2 linked regions of the Caenorhabditis elegans genome follow. The protein of the gene in region 1 interacts with the protein of each later gene in a pairwise test. Each region holds a gene or a part of one and is shown on either strand. Other genes may lie near its edges.

Region 1 (7,603 bases):
TGCAGGAGTCTTCAGGAAGCTCGCCAAAGATCCGACTTACAGGCTCAGTGGAGTTCTCCTCATCGCGCAGCTCAGCACCAAAGGATCTTTGACTGCGCTGGAAGGATACACCGAGACCGCCGTCAAGATTGCCAACGAGAATCGTGACGTGATTTCTGGATTCATCACTCAGACGAGAGTGTCTGCTTGCTCGGATCTTCTCAATTGGACGCCCGGTGTGAATCTCGACGCGAAATCCGACTCGGCCGGTCAGCAGTGGAGAGGTGTCGACGAGGCGATCGAAGTACAGCAGAACGACATCATCATCGTCGGAAGAGGCGTCACGTCGTCCAGTGAGCCCGTTCAGCAGCTCAAGAGGTTTGTTTTTTTTTTTTTAATTAAATTTTTAAATGTCAATTTTCTCTTTCAGATATCGACAAATCGCCTGGGATGCGCTCACGAGAAGCGACGATAGCATTTGAAAGTTGAAAAATCCGGAGAGCCTATTTGTAAAGAAGAAATGTGAATATTTATCTAATTACGTATTTATTTAACTTTGTTGATTTTGTTCAAGCTTCCCCAGAATTGTTGAAATAAGTAAATTGATTGCCTCCATCTTCCTCAAATTATCAAGAAATCACATGCCCACACCATTTACTTTACTGCTAACCTGATTAATCAATATTTTCTCCGTCAAGGCGAAAAGCTACTCCTCTAAGCGATCTTATCAGTTCGAAAAATCGGCATCTGATGTGTGAACGACCCGGTGTGTATTCTATAATGTCCTTTGATCTTTTCCTCCATGCTGAAAACATCAGAAACGATTCGATTCCTTATCAGTGCCGCCGCGAAGTTGATAAAAGACACGAGCATCACTGCTCCGGGTGCATTTTCGCTTCATTTCTCCAGTTTTTCATCTTAAAATCTACAGAATGACTCGCATTCTTCCGTGTCTTTTCCTTGTCTTGCTCGCCGCTGCTCCACTTCTAGCCAATCCAGCTAACCCACTCAATCTCAAGAAGCATCACGGTGTTTTCTGTGATGTCTGCAAGGCTCTCGTCGAGGTTTGTGCTCCAAATATCTCCAATTTTCCTCGTTATTCACATATTTCAGGGTGGAGAGAAGGTTGGAGATGATGATCTCGATGCATGGCTTGATGTGAACATCGGAACTCTTTGCTGGACTATGCTGTTGCCGTTGCATCACGAGTGTGAGGAAGAGCTGAAGAAGGTCAAGAAGGAGCTGAAAAAGGATATTGAGAACAAGGATTCTCCAGACAAGGCGTGCAAGGATGTTGATTTGTGCTAAGAATAATAAATGTTTCCTTCAAAATCATCAAAATATTCTTTCATTTAACAAAAACAGAAACAACGGCGAAATTGGTTTGTGCGCGTGGAATTTTAGAGTTATAAAAATTAGAACTCGTGTTGGTTCTAGTTGTTGAATGGGGGAAAAGTTCTCAGCTACCCTGAGAACACGTAAACTAGAAAACCACACACGGTAGAAGGGAGGGGGTATAAAATTAGAAATTAGAATATAATTGTCTCGAAACACACACACACATACAAAAGAAAGTTATCTGGATAAAATATAGAGTGTGGTGAGGACTGATAATTTACAGCGGCGATTTAATAGCACCAATTAAGCACTATGACACGTGGATGTGAGGAGTGATTGTGAGATGTGGAGGTGAAGTCTACTGGACAACGCAGCATCCTCGCATGAATCGAACGTGGCGGCGGCGGAGTGCTCCGAGCTGAAAATTTAAAATAAATATACTTTCTTGAGCAATATTTATAATTACCGCTTGAGGGGAAGGTTTCGCCTCCAGTGCCATATGTTGAAGCTCCTCGGTTCTGCTGAGAATCCTGACATCATCGTCGACGCTGTCCACTTTTGCGATTGGCACATGTTGCTTTGACACTATCGCCTGCAGTGCTGCAATGCGATCTTTGATTGTGGGATCCGCACGATTGCCGTCCAGCTCGACGTTGACTACTACAGTCTTAGCCTTCTGCTCTTCTTTTACAGGGGACAACTGCTCGGCACTTTGTGATACTTTCATCGACTTGTCGATCATTGTCATCGGTTCCGCTTCATCTTCACTGCACAATGAGTATGGAACATCTGCGTCACTCTGAAACTAATTTTAATAATTTAATTCAGAAAATCGCATCAGCAAACCTCCACGGAATCTGCTCGTTTTCGGTGATCATCCTTCAATGGAGTCTCAATGACTGTGATGATCTCCGAGGATCCTGGTCCACTGCCATTACTGTCGACTGTTTTGAGCTGGAAACCATCGGTATCTTTGACTCCGAGCTAAAAATTTCAGTATTAAAAAACAAAAACTTGATTATTAAAATATTAGTACCTCTGCAAATAGATCCTCATTCAATTTAGTCTTGGATGCAAAGTACTCTCGATCCAATGAAGACATTGAAGATTGTTCTTTGGCACAGAACGCGTTCTCAGTTTCCTCTTTAACTGGATTAGGAGTAGTGACTTTTTGTCTGGCTTCTTGCTCGGCGACGAATTCGGCCAGCTGCTCCTTCCCGTTCGCAATGATGCTACTGTGAGTAGAAGTGCTTCTGAAGATGACATTTGTCACTTCAGTCTCCGCGTGTTCCTCCTTCTTTGACGCCGAAAACACTTCATCCACTCTAGGCGCGGAGCCTCCAATTTCTTCGAGAACCTGCGCATAAATGGATTTTGGCTTGTGCTCTGCAAAGTTGACGCCGGCATCGAACTTCTCGATGAGATGCTTGATGGGTTTCCCGTTGGCGAGTTCTGCGGACACCATAGTTTTTCTTTCGGCGGGCAACGGCGGCGTCGCGTGCACTTTCGCCTCTTCGGAAGCGTTTCTGAAAAGTAAAAGTGTTGATGGTGGCGGACGATAAGGGAAACTTACTGTGTCATGGAAAGAGTTGCATCCGCATGTGAAACTGATTGAATAACTGCTTCAAAGGCGGCATCAATTGATTCCGTGAGCACTATCGGAGCCACAATCTCTTGAGCCTTGAAAAGCTTCTCAACTTTTGCCTCCTCCACAATAATCACATCAGCAACCATTGCACTGTCGACCTGATCGCTTTCAGCAGCGATTCTCTGATCTTCTTCAAAGACATCGTCTTCCATCTCCATCTTAGAACCGTCAACCTCATCCTTATCCTCAACCGGCGATGAATTTTCCGAGCGAACCTGAAAATTTGAATATACTAAAAATTGGGTATACTTCCACCTACATCCTTCCCAGACACCCATCCTTCGTCATCAGTCATTGAAGACTGTTGTGCCAGAGACCTTTGCGATGGAGAGTTGTCGGACTTGCTTAAATCCGAAGTTGGACCAGCTGCTTTGTCATCGCAGTCTGTTGAGATCGCAATCGGATTCCCACTTGATGGTGATACAGCTTGTGAGTGATCGGATGACGTGTCTTCAGTGATAACTAGAAAAATTAGCTACTAAAATTATTTTTCTGAAACTAGGGGTGCCTACCGTCGGTTTCGACCGATGTGGACATCAATGGAGGGAGATCGTCATCGTAAACTTCCTGTGGATCGGCGATCAGGCGAAACCTGCACATCATACTCCCATCCATCGATGTCATGAACCTTTTGACCTTTGGAAGCTCGAAGATTTCTCGTCTAAAAGTGAAATTAGATTTAAAAAAAACGAAATTCAGTCTACTTGGTCAAGTTCTTCGATGAGAAGATCGCATTGAGCTCTTCGGCGGTGAGTTGACGTTGGGTCTCCTTATGGTAAACCTTTCTCAGATCATGCCATGTGAACTCTTGTCCTTGCTTTCCTAGTCTGGAAACTGCCACGATAAACGTGGTGAAACCATCCTGAAAAATAGAAAATTATTATTTGAAATCGAAATTGATAATCATTAATCACTTACAACGCTTGGCTGGAATTTTCCAGATGCAGTCGACTGTGTGCGATTTTTCTTGCTGCCGACGGAAGCGGTGCTCTTGTTTCGCTTAGCGTGTCTTCCACGACCCATTTGAGTGCTGAAAACCGAAATAAATGAAGAATACATAGTGACCGGGGACAGATGCGAAAGACAGCCGGCGGAGGTACCAGCTCGTTCAAAAAAGTTATTTTTTGGACACAGACATCTGTCATTAGTGACTCACACAATCGAAGCCAATAACGTCGACAGATGCAACAAAAAACCGTGCTCGAGCAGATTTCTCTTCTCTTACCTTTGAGAATCCGTCATTTTCGCTAGTGATTACTTTCCTACTCGCTTTTATTTCGAAGAGATTTCGTAGTGAGTGCACAAACCTGGAATTCGAAACTAAAAAAGTTGAAAAAAATGAATAAAATAAACAAAGGAAGTTAGAAGCAAGCAACGGGAGCACAAAATTGGGGAGTTTAGAGGTATCTGATTTCAAATATACTGAAAGCATAATCTTTGAGGTTTTTCAATTGGGAAACAGGAGACGTTTACACATAGGCGGCGAGCGATCTCCCAAGAAGGCGAGATTTTGTGGTGAAGATAATCCGAAATGTGGAACAGTGTGCGAAAAATGCGGAAAACACGCGCGTTTTTCGGTTGCAAGTTATTCTCAACAGCTGTTACAACAATTTTATGGATTAAAACGCGGGAAATGTTGCGAAAAGTTCAAAAAATTGGAGAATTATGATAAAAATCCACCAAAATTCAAATAATAAAGATAGGCGGCCTAAATGGGTACGCAAACACGCAAACACCGAAGACGCACAGAAAAGGATCTACCGTAGTTGAGTGAAAATTTAATTTTTATTAAAAAATTAAATTAAATTTTATCAGAACTATTTAGTTTTCCATCCGAAAAAGCTATATTTTTATTTTAAAAAGAAATCCGATTGAAAAGTGAAAATTGTCTATTTTCCGGAAATCTCAGCAGCACGCTTGAACTCTCTAAACCCATTGTTAACCGAGGTAGAAGTGGAGACAAATGATTGGAAAAGTTCCTGATCCGTTAAGCAAACAAAACTATGTGTGTTTCTCGTTGAACAAGCATGAACATCGTTACTTTACTAAATACTCTACTGTTTAAATCGTTTTGCGCTGGGATTGCGTGTGAAAATTGGCAGAATTCGAGTGTCACCTGGAACAAAGTTGGGAAATGATGGAAAAGCTGTTGTAGAAAAACTAAAACCGAAACTTAAAATATCCTGTAAAACTATAATATATAAAAATACTTGCTCAATGGGAAAAAATACGGTACCCGGTCTCGACACGCCAATTTTGTGAATTACGAACCGATGTGCGCCTTTAAAGAGTACTGTAATTTCGAACTTTCGTTGCTGCGGAATTTTCATCGATTTTTCATAATTTTTCGTTGAAAATCTTTATTTATTTAAAACTAGAATTTTAAAAAAATTAAAAATCAATAAATTGTAATAACTTGTAATAAAAACTATGAAAAATCGGCGAAAATATAAAAGCAACAAAAGTGTAAAAGTACAGTACACTTTAAAGGTGCACACCCGTTTTTATTTAACAAAAAATTGTCGTGTCGAGATCGGATACCGTATTTTTCACAAAATTTCATGCCTGGGCAATTTTTTTAAAGGGAGTTACGGTAATAAAATAAAACTTGAGTGTTTAAAAAAGCAGAAAGCTGAGGAATTACAGAAAAAAACCAAAAAATTATTATAGCAACTAATTGGACTGAAAAACAATTTTCGAAATTTTCGCGGCGAGACCCAACTTTTTCAAATAACTTTTAAAAATATACAAATTAATTACCAATGCACAAAACACAAAAAAAATTAAAAAGTGTCAAACGTGGCGACGAACTTGTAAAAGAGTGACACATCTCGAAATAACTCGGGCTCCTAGCGCCGTTTGTTCACCCTCTGTGGGGCAAACGTAGACTCAAGTGGTGGTGGTAGAGAAGAAGCTGCTCTTTTAAAACAAATCTCATATATACATGTACTGTTAACCACTGATCGAACATGACCGACACAGTACTTTGTCTCTCTGTGGGGTTATGCAAATTCGCCGCCCGGGCGTACTTCAAACTCGGCTTTGACCATATAAACATAATGATAATCAAGCCGCGCGAGGAGCAAAACTGTAGTGAAATTGTGTGTATGGGAGGCTGTGATGGGAGAGAACAAAAGTGTAAGAGGGGTGATGACACACTGTGTAATTCTCATGCAGAATCTTCCACGTCATCATATTGAGCAGGTCGACTTTGCCGATTTTTCGCAATTTCAAAATTGAAAGAACTATAGTTTTTCACAAGAAAGTCTAGGCCATAACGGAGAAAATTGAAGGAACGGAAAGAAGAAAAACAGTTCAAAAAAGAAATTGCGTGGCCTAGAACGTGTGAAACCTCGGCCCCGCATTTAGTCTTGGTGGCAGAAAGAACCAATTGAAGAAACTCCGCCACCGTTTTTTTTCGGCCACGTGGCAAGTTATGCTCTATGGTGGAAAAAATTTAAACTGTAAAAACCATAAAAGTTTCTTAAAACATTGCCATGAAAAATTGAAGTCTCGTGGCCGCGAAAAATACAAATTCGGCCATGGTGTTTTTTGGAAATTTTTTAAAGGAAAAATTGCTCAATTTTAAAGGCCGCAAAAAAACTGGTTTTTAAAGTTAAAGTTATTTTTTCAAAAAATTGGCATGGGCAATAGAAGACCTATTTTTTGTGAATGCCCGCAGAAGAGCATTTTTGCCTGCCTGCCTACTTGTCTGGAAGATAATTACACCGTATAAAATTTATTTGATTATGTCCAAATTCAGAAACAAAAAATCTTCTATGCAGAAAAAATTAACAGAAAAAGTGATCATGTGACCCGAACTAAAGTATAACAATTTAAAATTAATAATTAAATTTTGCAATTAAACTACATTGATTTCCTGCTCAATATCCTCTTGCTCTTCTTTCTTGACATTTTTCAAAGATGGCGGAGGTGTTGGAAATGACATTGGGGAGAAGCATGGAAGTCCAAATGGGAATTGGAATGGTACAGGCGGGAAGTTCCCGGTGGCTGCCAAATGGGAAAAGTAGGGGAGACTGTAGAAAAGGGGATTGATGGCTGGTGGTGGTGGAATCATTGTTGGAAGGATCCGTGGCATCAATGGAGGTGATACTGACACGGTTCGTGACTTTTTTGGCTGAGGAGAAGAGACTTGAGATGAGCTTTCATCTGTTGTAGAGTCGTCGGCGGATGGAGAATTTCGTTTTCTGTCTGATTGGCTTCCCTCTCGGAATCCTTTGGCAAATGGGTTGAACTTGATTTTCAGCTTGATTACTGCGTCGTTCTGGAAGTTTTTGAATTTAAGAGTTACATTTTGATTGAGCCATGGAAAAAAGACAACTTTCTGAGATGCCTCGCTGTTTTCAAGAAAATAAAAAATTGTAGATTAAATAATGCAGTTAATTATTTGCTGTTGGTCTTTAAAACCGCCTGAGACAGTTGCAACAATCGGAAAAACGGTAAAAAACTGCCGGCAAACTATCAAAACTTTTTTCAAGCTATTTTCAGCTTTCAGACAATTTTTGAGTGTTTTTTCAATATTTTCAATTAAGAGAAAAGTTATTTCAGATTTGAAAAGTATACATCATTTTATAGGTCAAAAATTTCATGATAGCTCTCTTACGGTTTTTGAGGAAA
Region 2 (7,080 bases), on another chromosome or scaffold:
TTAAAACTTATCGACTTGATCCGAAAATATGAACTTATAGACTTTCGACAAAAGTTTTCAGTTTTTGAACTATTTCAATCGCGCGTGGTCTTCTTGTTTTTTCCCAGGTAGTATTCGTTTTATTGCGGATATCACGAGTTTTTTGGTCTATCAATTTTATTATGAGTATAATAAGATTCTACCATTTTCTTAACCTCTTAATTTTGTGTCGACCGAAGCCACTCCAGATAATCGATTTTTAAAATTTTATAACCAAATTGATCTATACATTTAAAAAAACAAGTTCGGTGGAAATGATGCATGCACAAAAAATACACATATATTCTAGGGTGTATCAGAAAGGGGGAGTTGTGAACATTCAAAACCTACACTTGATCTCAGCGTTTTTTCTCGCTGCCACTTTTCGAATATGATCTGGAAACGGAGTGAGTGTGTGTGTGTGTGTGTGGGATCACCTGACACAGATTCACTGTCTATTTGAGTGAGTGAAGGGCAAGGCAATGAGCACGGATCAATCATTTTCTCGGCTCACCACCATCATCCCTCACACATGCCGAAAGGGTAAACATCATCAAAAAGAAATCAAGAAAAAGAAGCTTGAAGGAAGTAAGAAGAAACGGGAAAATGTGAAGCCAAAAGCAAGCCAATTTCCTGATGTCTGAAAGCTAGAGCTTCTGGGTCCCATTGGGCTCCCTCTATTCATGTCACCCCGGTTAAACCCATTATGTGGATGGAGAAGATGGAAAGAAGCGCCAATTTTTTATAGCTCATACGCTTGATCGAGCCTTATGTATATCTCGGGCGGAAACTTTGTTTTTTCTGTGTGTTTATGTATGTGTTTTAATGGTTTTAGTTCCTATAATAGTCAGAAGCTCGAACATCAAATGACCTACCTTTCCCTCGTCGAAACGGATGGAAAGATGAAGAGGCACGTCGTTGCCGGAGAAATCTGGAGAATCCTTGTGGAGATTAATGTTGAACCTGCAAGTTTCTTCGGGTTAGAATTCGAATGAATATTGTCAAAATCTCGATTACCTCTTGGACTCATCGATAGTCTTTCCACGAATGATCAGAGTTTGTCCGGGCTCGATGCGCTCGGTGAGCTTGGAACGGTATGGGATGTTCTGAAATAATACGAAATATTAACTTGAGTTGTTGGAATTTGTTTTTGAGCTATTCCCGAAATTCTCGGTTTCACAAAAAACATCGGGAGCCACTCAAAAACTTGATGGTTAGATTGGACATCACTGGTTGAAATTTAAACTGAAAAACTGAAAAAAAGAGAAACTGAAACTGACTGAACTGACACAAAACTGGACAAACTAGAACTAAAGTTCACTGCAAGAAAAAGCACTGCACAGAATTTCAGATTTTCACGGTCCTACAAGAAGACGATGAAAATCTGCACCCAGAACCCCCAATAAAAGTCCTACGATATATTTGGCACAGTGCCAAACCGACGGCATATCATCTCCAATCGTTTCGTAGCAAGTTCCCAGTGGGTAGCACGATGAGGTGCTCGTCGAGCAAGAGCTGGATGTCGAGCAACTCGGCAGACACGGCGGCTGCTCTTTTTGGTTCTTTTTCTGATATTGCTGAAGCCACGTTTTGGGACTCAGTTGACCATGGTCACCAAGTCCCAAATTAAGATTCTTGATCGACAACAGTTTGGCGGATTAGACGAAGGGAGCTTCGGGTAGAAGATAGAACAAGTGGGGGTGACAAAGTGAAGCAGCAACTAGGCTTCAAGAGTAGATGCTGGGGCGGGCGGTGGCTCAACGAAGGGAAGGGAGCCACCAAAATGTGGGCGTGGCCTATTTCTCAAGGGGAAGAGGCTACTATTGTTTTGACACTTGGCCACTTGCCAGCTGGATTGAAGTTGGAAAACGAAAGAAAAATACACATAAAGTGTGATGTGACTTTTTGTTGAAAAAAACGTTTTTTGGAAAGTTGAGTTGAGAGTAAAGTTCTCATGTCAACTTTCATGAATCTTGGCAGAATACAGCTATACGTCACTATTTGTGGCGCAAAGTTCAAAAGTTTAAATCAGCTACCAACTAGGTTCAAAATGTTCATGGCGTTAGAGCAAGATAGAAGAAAGTTATGTAAGTTGTTCATAAATTATATTATCCAGTTGTGTAACAATCCGATTTTTTGAGGCAAAATAACGGTAAATGGTCTCGACGCGATCGAAAAATTTTCACTTGCGCATTTAAAGAGTTCGTTCCGCAATTTTTATCGACTTTGCTCTTAAAATTTGGCAGTTAAGGAGAAAATAGCATTAAGAACAGGAAGCCGAAACTATTAAACTTTTAATGACGCATATTCCATTGCTCAGAAAATTTTCAGTCGTGTCGAGGCGTAATTTTTGACCAAAAATGAAATTGTTTCGCAACTTGGTAATAGGCAGTTGCTAACAATCATGGGGTTCGTTTGTGATTATTAATAATAGTTCAAAAACTGTTTCCAGATTTCCAAATGCCCGCTGCAAAAACCTAGTTCATGCTCATGGGCTAATAAATATAAAATTATTCAATTCCAACAAATTCTCACTTTTTCTTGTTGCCAATAGAGCGCAGATTCTGCCACCCACAATGAAAAACTGACACTAATCTTGAAATAGGAGAAAATAAACAAAAAGAAGAGGGGGAAATCCTCCTTGTCTTTTCTTTTCCTGCTCAATTTTTCTCTGCCTGATATTGGATTACACCCGGAATTTCCGTTTCGCATCTGATTTTGACTTTGTTGCAACAAGTTGCACACACACACACCGGATTAAAGCCTAAAGTTTCCCGGAGCACAGAGCATAAAACAATTTGTCTACGTCAAATAAATTTTTGGAGAAAAAGAAAAATGAGCATGAATCAAAGGGTAAACTAACAAAAGGGGGAGTGAGAAATCTAAGCGAGTAAGAGAGCAAAAGGACATAAAATGTTTATGGAAATAAGGGGAGGCGGATGTGTATGTCTATCTGTGTCAGTTTTGGCTTCAGTTAAAAAAAGAAAAGTTGAAGCAAAAATATTTGAATTAATTTGAATTTCCACCGACTCAATTGTACTTTTTCTGCAAAAGAGGGGGAAGATTGTGCTAACGGTTCGTGCACATAAAGGCTTTTAGATTTATGACGTGGTTCCTATGAGCCCCGGGTCACATAACCTAACAAGAGGAGGATAAGCTCCTATGGGAGCTCGGCTCGAACTAAAAATAGCAACTTGAACTGGGAAGTGGATATTTTGAGAAAAAAAAGTTTAAAATGAAGTGAAGATTTGTTTGAAAGTGGAGAATATTAGAATGTATGGAGGGTGTAAACATCGCATAGCATGTTTTTTTTTCCAATTACAGTTCATATTCTATTTGCAGCTTTTTGTTCTACTTTGACAGCGAAATAAGTATTCCAGCACAAAACAAACTTTGAAGCTCATATATCTCCCTAAAAATATCACTGAAATTTTTATAATTTCACAATCAGACAAAAAAAAACATGTTTTCAATTTACAATGTGTTCTTTGTAACTTCTTTACAATTCATAAGCTAGCTGAAATTTCTTCTTATTACTCCCATTCTTTCTATTTACATAATTTCCAGAAATGCTTCAAGCGTACATTTTCAGACCAAGCTTTCTCCACTTATGAAAATTCAATCTTTGATGTCCTTTTTACCACCACCCCCACACTAAATTACAATTGTCTCTTGTTCGAGCACATAAAAAGCTCCATCGTGCTTCTTCAAGATTCAAACCTCAATTTTATGGTTCACCAAGTCGGCTATTTGTGTTAATAAGGGGGTGGCATTTCCGAGAAGACTGTAATGGGGTAGAACAGAACAACACGCAATGTTTTTTGTGTTAGAATTTCCAAATTAGGAGGAAACTGTCATTTTTGAAACTCAAAAATGAAACAAAAAACAGAATCACATGCACACAAAAAAAACAAAAACCGGAAAGATTGCATGATCGAAAAAAAAAACTTACGAAGGATTTCGGCTCGGCCATGATGATCTCTCGAAGATAAACGGGGAGTCGAACGGTGGTCCTGAAAAAATTGGGAATTGAAATATTTTATGATATTTTTCATAGCTGTTAAGGAAAGTGAGAAGTTGTACAGAAGTTGGAAAATTACATAATTATTTGCTCTAAAAAATTTTCGTTTGTACCAACATACCCATGACCTCTCTTTTTCTTTACAGTACCATTAGTAGTAGGTTCTGTAACTGCTAGACTTTTCGATCTTCGTCGAAACATTTTTATAGGAGAGAATAGTTCAAATTTGGCGATGTTCTCCCCTATGTGAGATGTACAATATTTGTGTTGGTTTTGAAGAAGAGGTTATGGCTACGCTGGTATCAAAACTATATTTGAACATCATAAACGTTTTCGAAAGAGTTTCGAGAACTAAAAGGAAGATTAAACAATCCGAGGTTTTGTGTGAAGAAAAATAGTATATATTTGATTGAATTGTTACAGAGAATGGAAGGAAGAAAGAATGTGATAGATTGTAGAAAAAGAATAGGCGGGAAATAAAAGTGTGAGTCATGGAATTATGGGAATGAATTCCCGTGGATCGTTTTGGATGCAGGGAAAATTATAAATGATTTGATTTGGTTGGTTGCGAGAAATGTTATAAAATTATACCAGTTGTTGGAATCTGAATTTTTCATGCAAAAAATGATTTTGGAAGTTGTCAATTTGTCAGAAAGCGGCTGAACCGTAGCTCGAACTATTTTCGATTAGTTTTAAGGTTTTAAAACAGGGATAAAGTGTTATCAAGACTATTACTTCTGAGAATCTGTATGACTTGGAGTTTTACGAGAAATCCTTATTGGGAAAATTTGACAAAGTGGGCATAAAGATTGAGCTTCTAAATTAATCAAGTGAAACAAACTACAAAAAAAAACAAAAATATATAAAATTGAACAACCAAAACTCACATAATTCCAACTAAATTCAAGTTAACACCGACAAGAGTCGAAATATCAGAAACAACACAAGAAATAAAAATCAATCAAAACTGATAAATTGTGAGGTTAACAGGTGGCGAGGGGTTTTTCCCACTGCTGCTGATCTTTTTTATTTACTTCCCGCACGTTTCATTTTTTTGAACTCAGAGACAAAAATTATTGGGTGTGGAAAATGAGATACGCAGGAGGGATAAGGAGAGAGTTGGACAAATAATTATATGTCATTAGATTTTGAAATTAATTTGGATTTCGAAAGTGATTTGGAAAACCTACGTTTTTTTTAGGCAGAGTTAGTATGCTCACGCTAGTAGAAGTGCTTGCTGGAACCATGGTTTACAGTTTAAAAGAAGTGAAAAAATTTCAAAAAGTTTTTACTTTAAACAAAAACGCAATCATCCAGATTGCCGCAAAAAATACAATGTACAGCTTTTTTTACACAAACAATTTTTTCAGAAAAATCCAGATGCAAATTTGCAAGAGAACTGTAAAAACTGCACATTTCAGTCACTATTTATACCAACTGTATACATATAGTTGGTGAGAAGAAAAGAGAAAGACAAAAAATATATATACAACATAATGTATCTTCTCACTTTTTTTGCAATTTCTTTCCTAGCTACTACTCCACCTCTTCCTCCTACTCTTCTATCCTTGCTCTCCGATCACTCATTTGCCTCTTTTTCATGCTTTTCTTTTCCATCACTCAAAAATTTCAAAAAAAAAAACGTTAACGAAGAACATATGACTCAATTGAGGTCTTGGATAGTGAGTGAGAAAAGATATCCGATATGTTGCAGTTGTCGTTTTTTTTTTTCTTTTAGGTTTTAATTTCTAAAGGAAAAAACTCTTACGTTTTTCACATTTTTCGATGTTTCTGAATTTTAAAAACTAGAGTGTGATAGTAGAATTTCAGCGGGAAGGTTGAAAATGAACAATAGAAAAGAAAAATAATTGAATGTGATTAACAGAAAAAGAAAGAAAAATACATAAAAACCAAGTATAAGCATTTTGAGACAATGACTCACTACAACTTATTTATTATTTTCTATTCCAATATTTTGAAATTTAGTAGATTTTTTTTTCCGAATTTTAAAATAAACAACAATCAGGGATCGACTTTTGCTATTTGGCCTCGAAAAAAACTCGGTCATCGATTTATATTTGATATTTTATTCTTAAACTTGAAGATCTTTCAAAATTTTAAAAATTTTGGCCGAGCCGATTCAAGGAAGGAGTCTATCTAATTGGCATTTTGCCAAATTTGAAAAAAAAAACGGTGAAAATTTCCAACGGTTTCAATTCAGTAAAATCTAGAAATTTGGAACTGAATCTAAAAAATTCAAAATCCTGTTTCTGGAAATTGAGGTGACGTTGAGAAGTTAAAATTACTAAAAAATTCGCACAGTCGTAAAATGACAAAGAAAACGGAACACACTCAACATGTTCAGTGTCATCGGTTTCTTGAAAAAAGCCTAGCAGTATAAGTGTCACTTTTGCCAACTATTTCCAACATTTCAAAAAGCAGAAGAAGCAGAAAAGCTCATAAAATTCCGACGAAAACTCGCTTCAGAACGACAAAATAGGCCCCCCATGTTTCACATAAATATTTTCAGGGCGTTTCGTGCCTGAAAACCGGTTTTTTCGATTTTTCGGGGCCGGTGGCATTGGTGGTCGCCGACGTAACTATTTTATCAGTTTTTGTGTAAAGGGGTACTTAGATTGTAGGTACTTATATTGGTTGATTTTCTTGATTGAAAGTGGCATTTTCTATTTTACTTTCAAACTGCAAGAGACCACACAAAAAAATAGGGAAATCGCAGAGAATGAGCTAGAATTCCATACGGCAATCCATGTAAAATTGAGGCAATGCAAATTTTCATATACGTTTCGACGCGTTGGCACTCAATTGAAATGATGAAAAAGTGGAGAGATGAGAGAGAATCCGGAAGAGAGAAATGAAAACATCAACAATAATAAATAATGATGAGGGTGGAGGATTACGCAGATTTGTAAGCGCAAATCATGAAAAATAAAAGTTGAAAATTTACGTTATCTTGTCATGCGGTGCAAAGAGAGTTGAAAAAAGTGAAAATTAGAATTTTAGATATCAAATACCGAACTAAA

What was found. The genes of interacting proteins can lie anywhere in the genome.
Region 2: the proteins of T07C4.3 (region 1) and lec-3 interact in a two-hybrid assay, tested with the Caenorhabditis elegans proteins (2 studies listed by BioGRID).

Annotation. Positions count from the first base shown.
Region 1 is NC_003281.10:10,348,826-10,356,428, reverse strand, and holds T07C4.3 (ANK_REP_REGION domain-containing protein), read right to left. Parts: upstream 4,275-7,603; 5' UTR 4,208-4,274; coding exon 4,191-4,207; intron 3,996-4,190; coding exon 3,884-3,995; intron 3,828-3,883; coding exon 3,670-3,827; intron 3,627-3,669; coding exon 3,478-3,626; intron 3,428-3,477; coding exon 3,225-3,427; intron 3,181-3,224; coding exon 2,891-3,180; intron 2,844-2,890; coding exon 2,354-2,843; intron 2,302-2,353; coding exon 2,164-2,301; intron 2,123-2,163; coding exon 1,784-2,122; intron 1,736-1,783; coding exon 1,676-1,735; 3' UTR 1,312-1,675; downstream 1-1,311. Other genes in the region: umps-1 (Orotidine 5'-phosphate decarboxylase), read left to right, coding at 1-357, 410-461; spp-1 (Saposin B-type domain-containing protein), read left to right, coding at 912-1,043, 1,093-1,287; T-box transcription factor tbx-8, read right to left, coding at 6,828-7,250.
Region 2 is NC_003280.10:9,988,320-9,995,399, reverse strand, and holds the start of lec-3 (Galectin), read right to left. Parts: upstream 4,241-7,080; coding exon 4,161-4,240; intron 4,038-4,160; exon of another isoform or gene 4,032-4,037; coding exon 3,971-4,031; intron 3,144-3,970; exon of another isoform or gene 3,063-3,143; intron 2,946-3,062; exon of another isoform or gene 2,825-2,945; intron 1,781-2,824; exon of another isoform or gene 1,467-1,780; coding exon of another isoform or gene 1,434-1,466; intron 1,258-1,433; exon of another isoform or gene 1,125-1,257; coding exon 1,036-1,124; intron 982-1,035; coding exon 894-981; intron 415-893; coding exon of another isoform or gene 378-414; exon of another isoform or gene 145-377; intron 1-144. UniProt on the Caenorhabditis elegans protein: Binds galactose.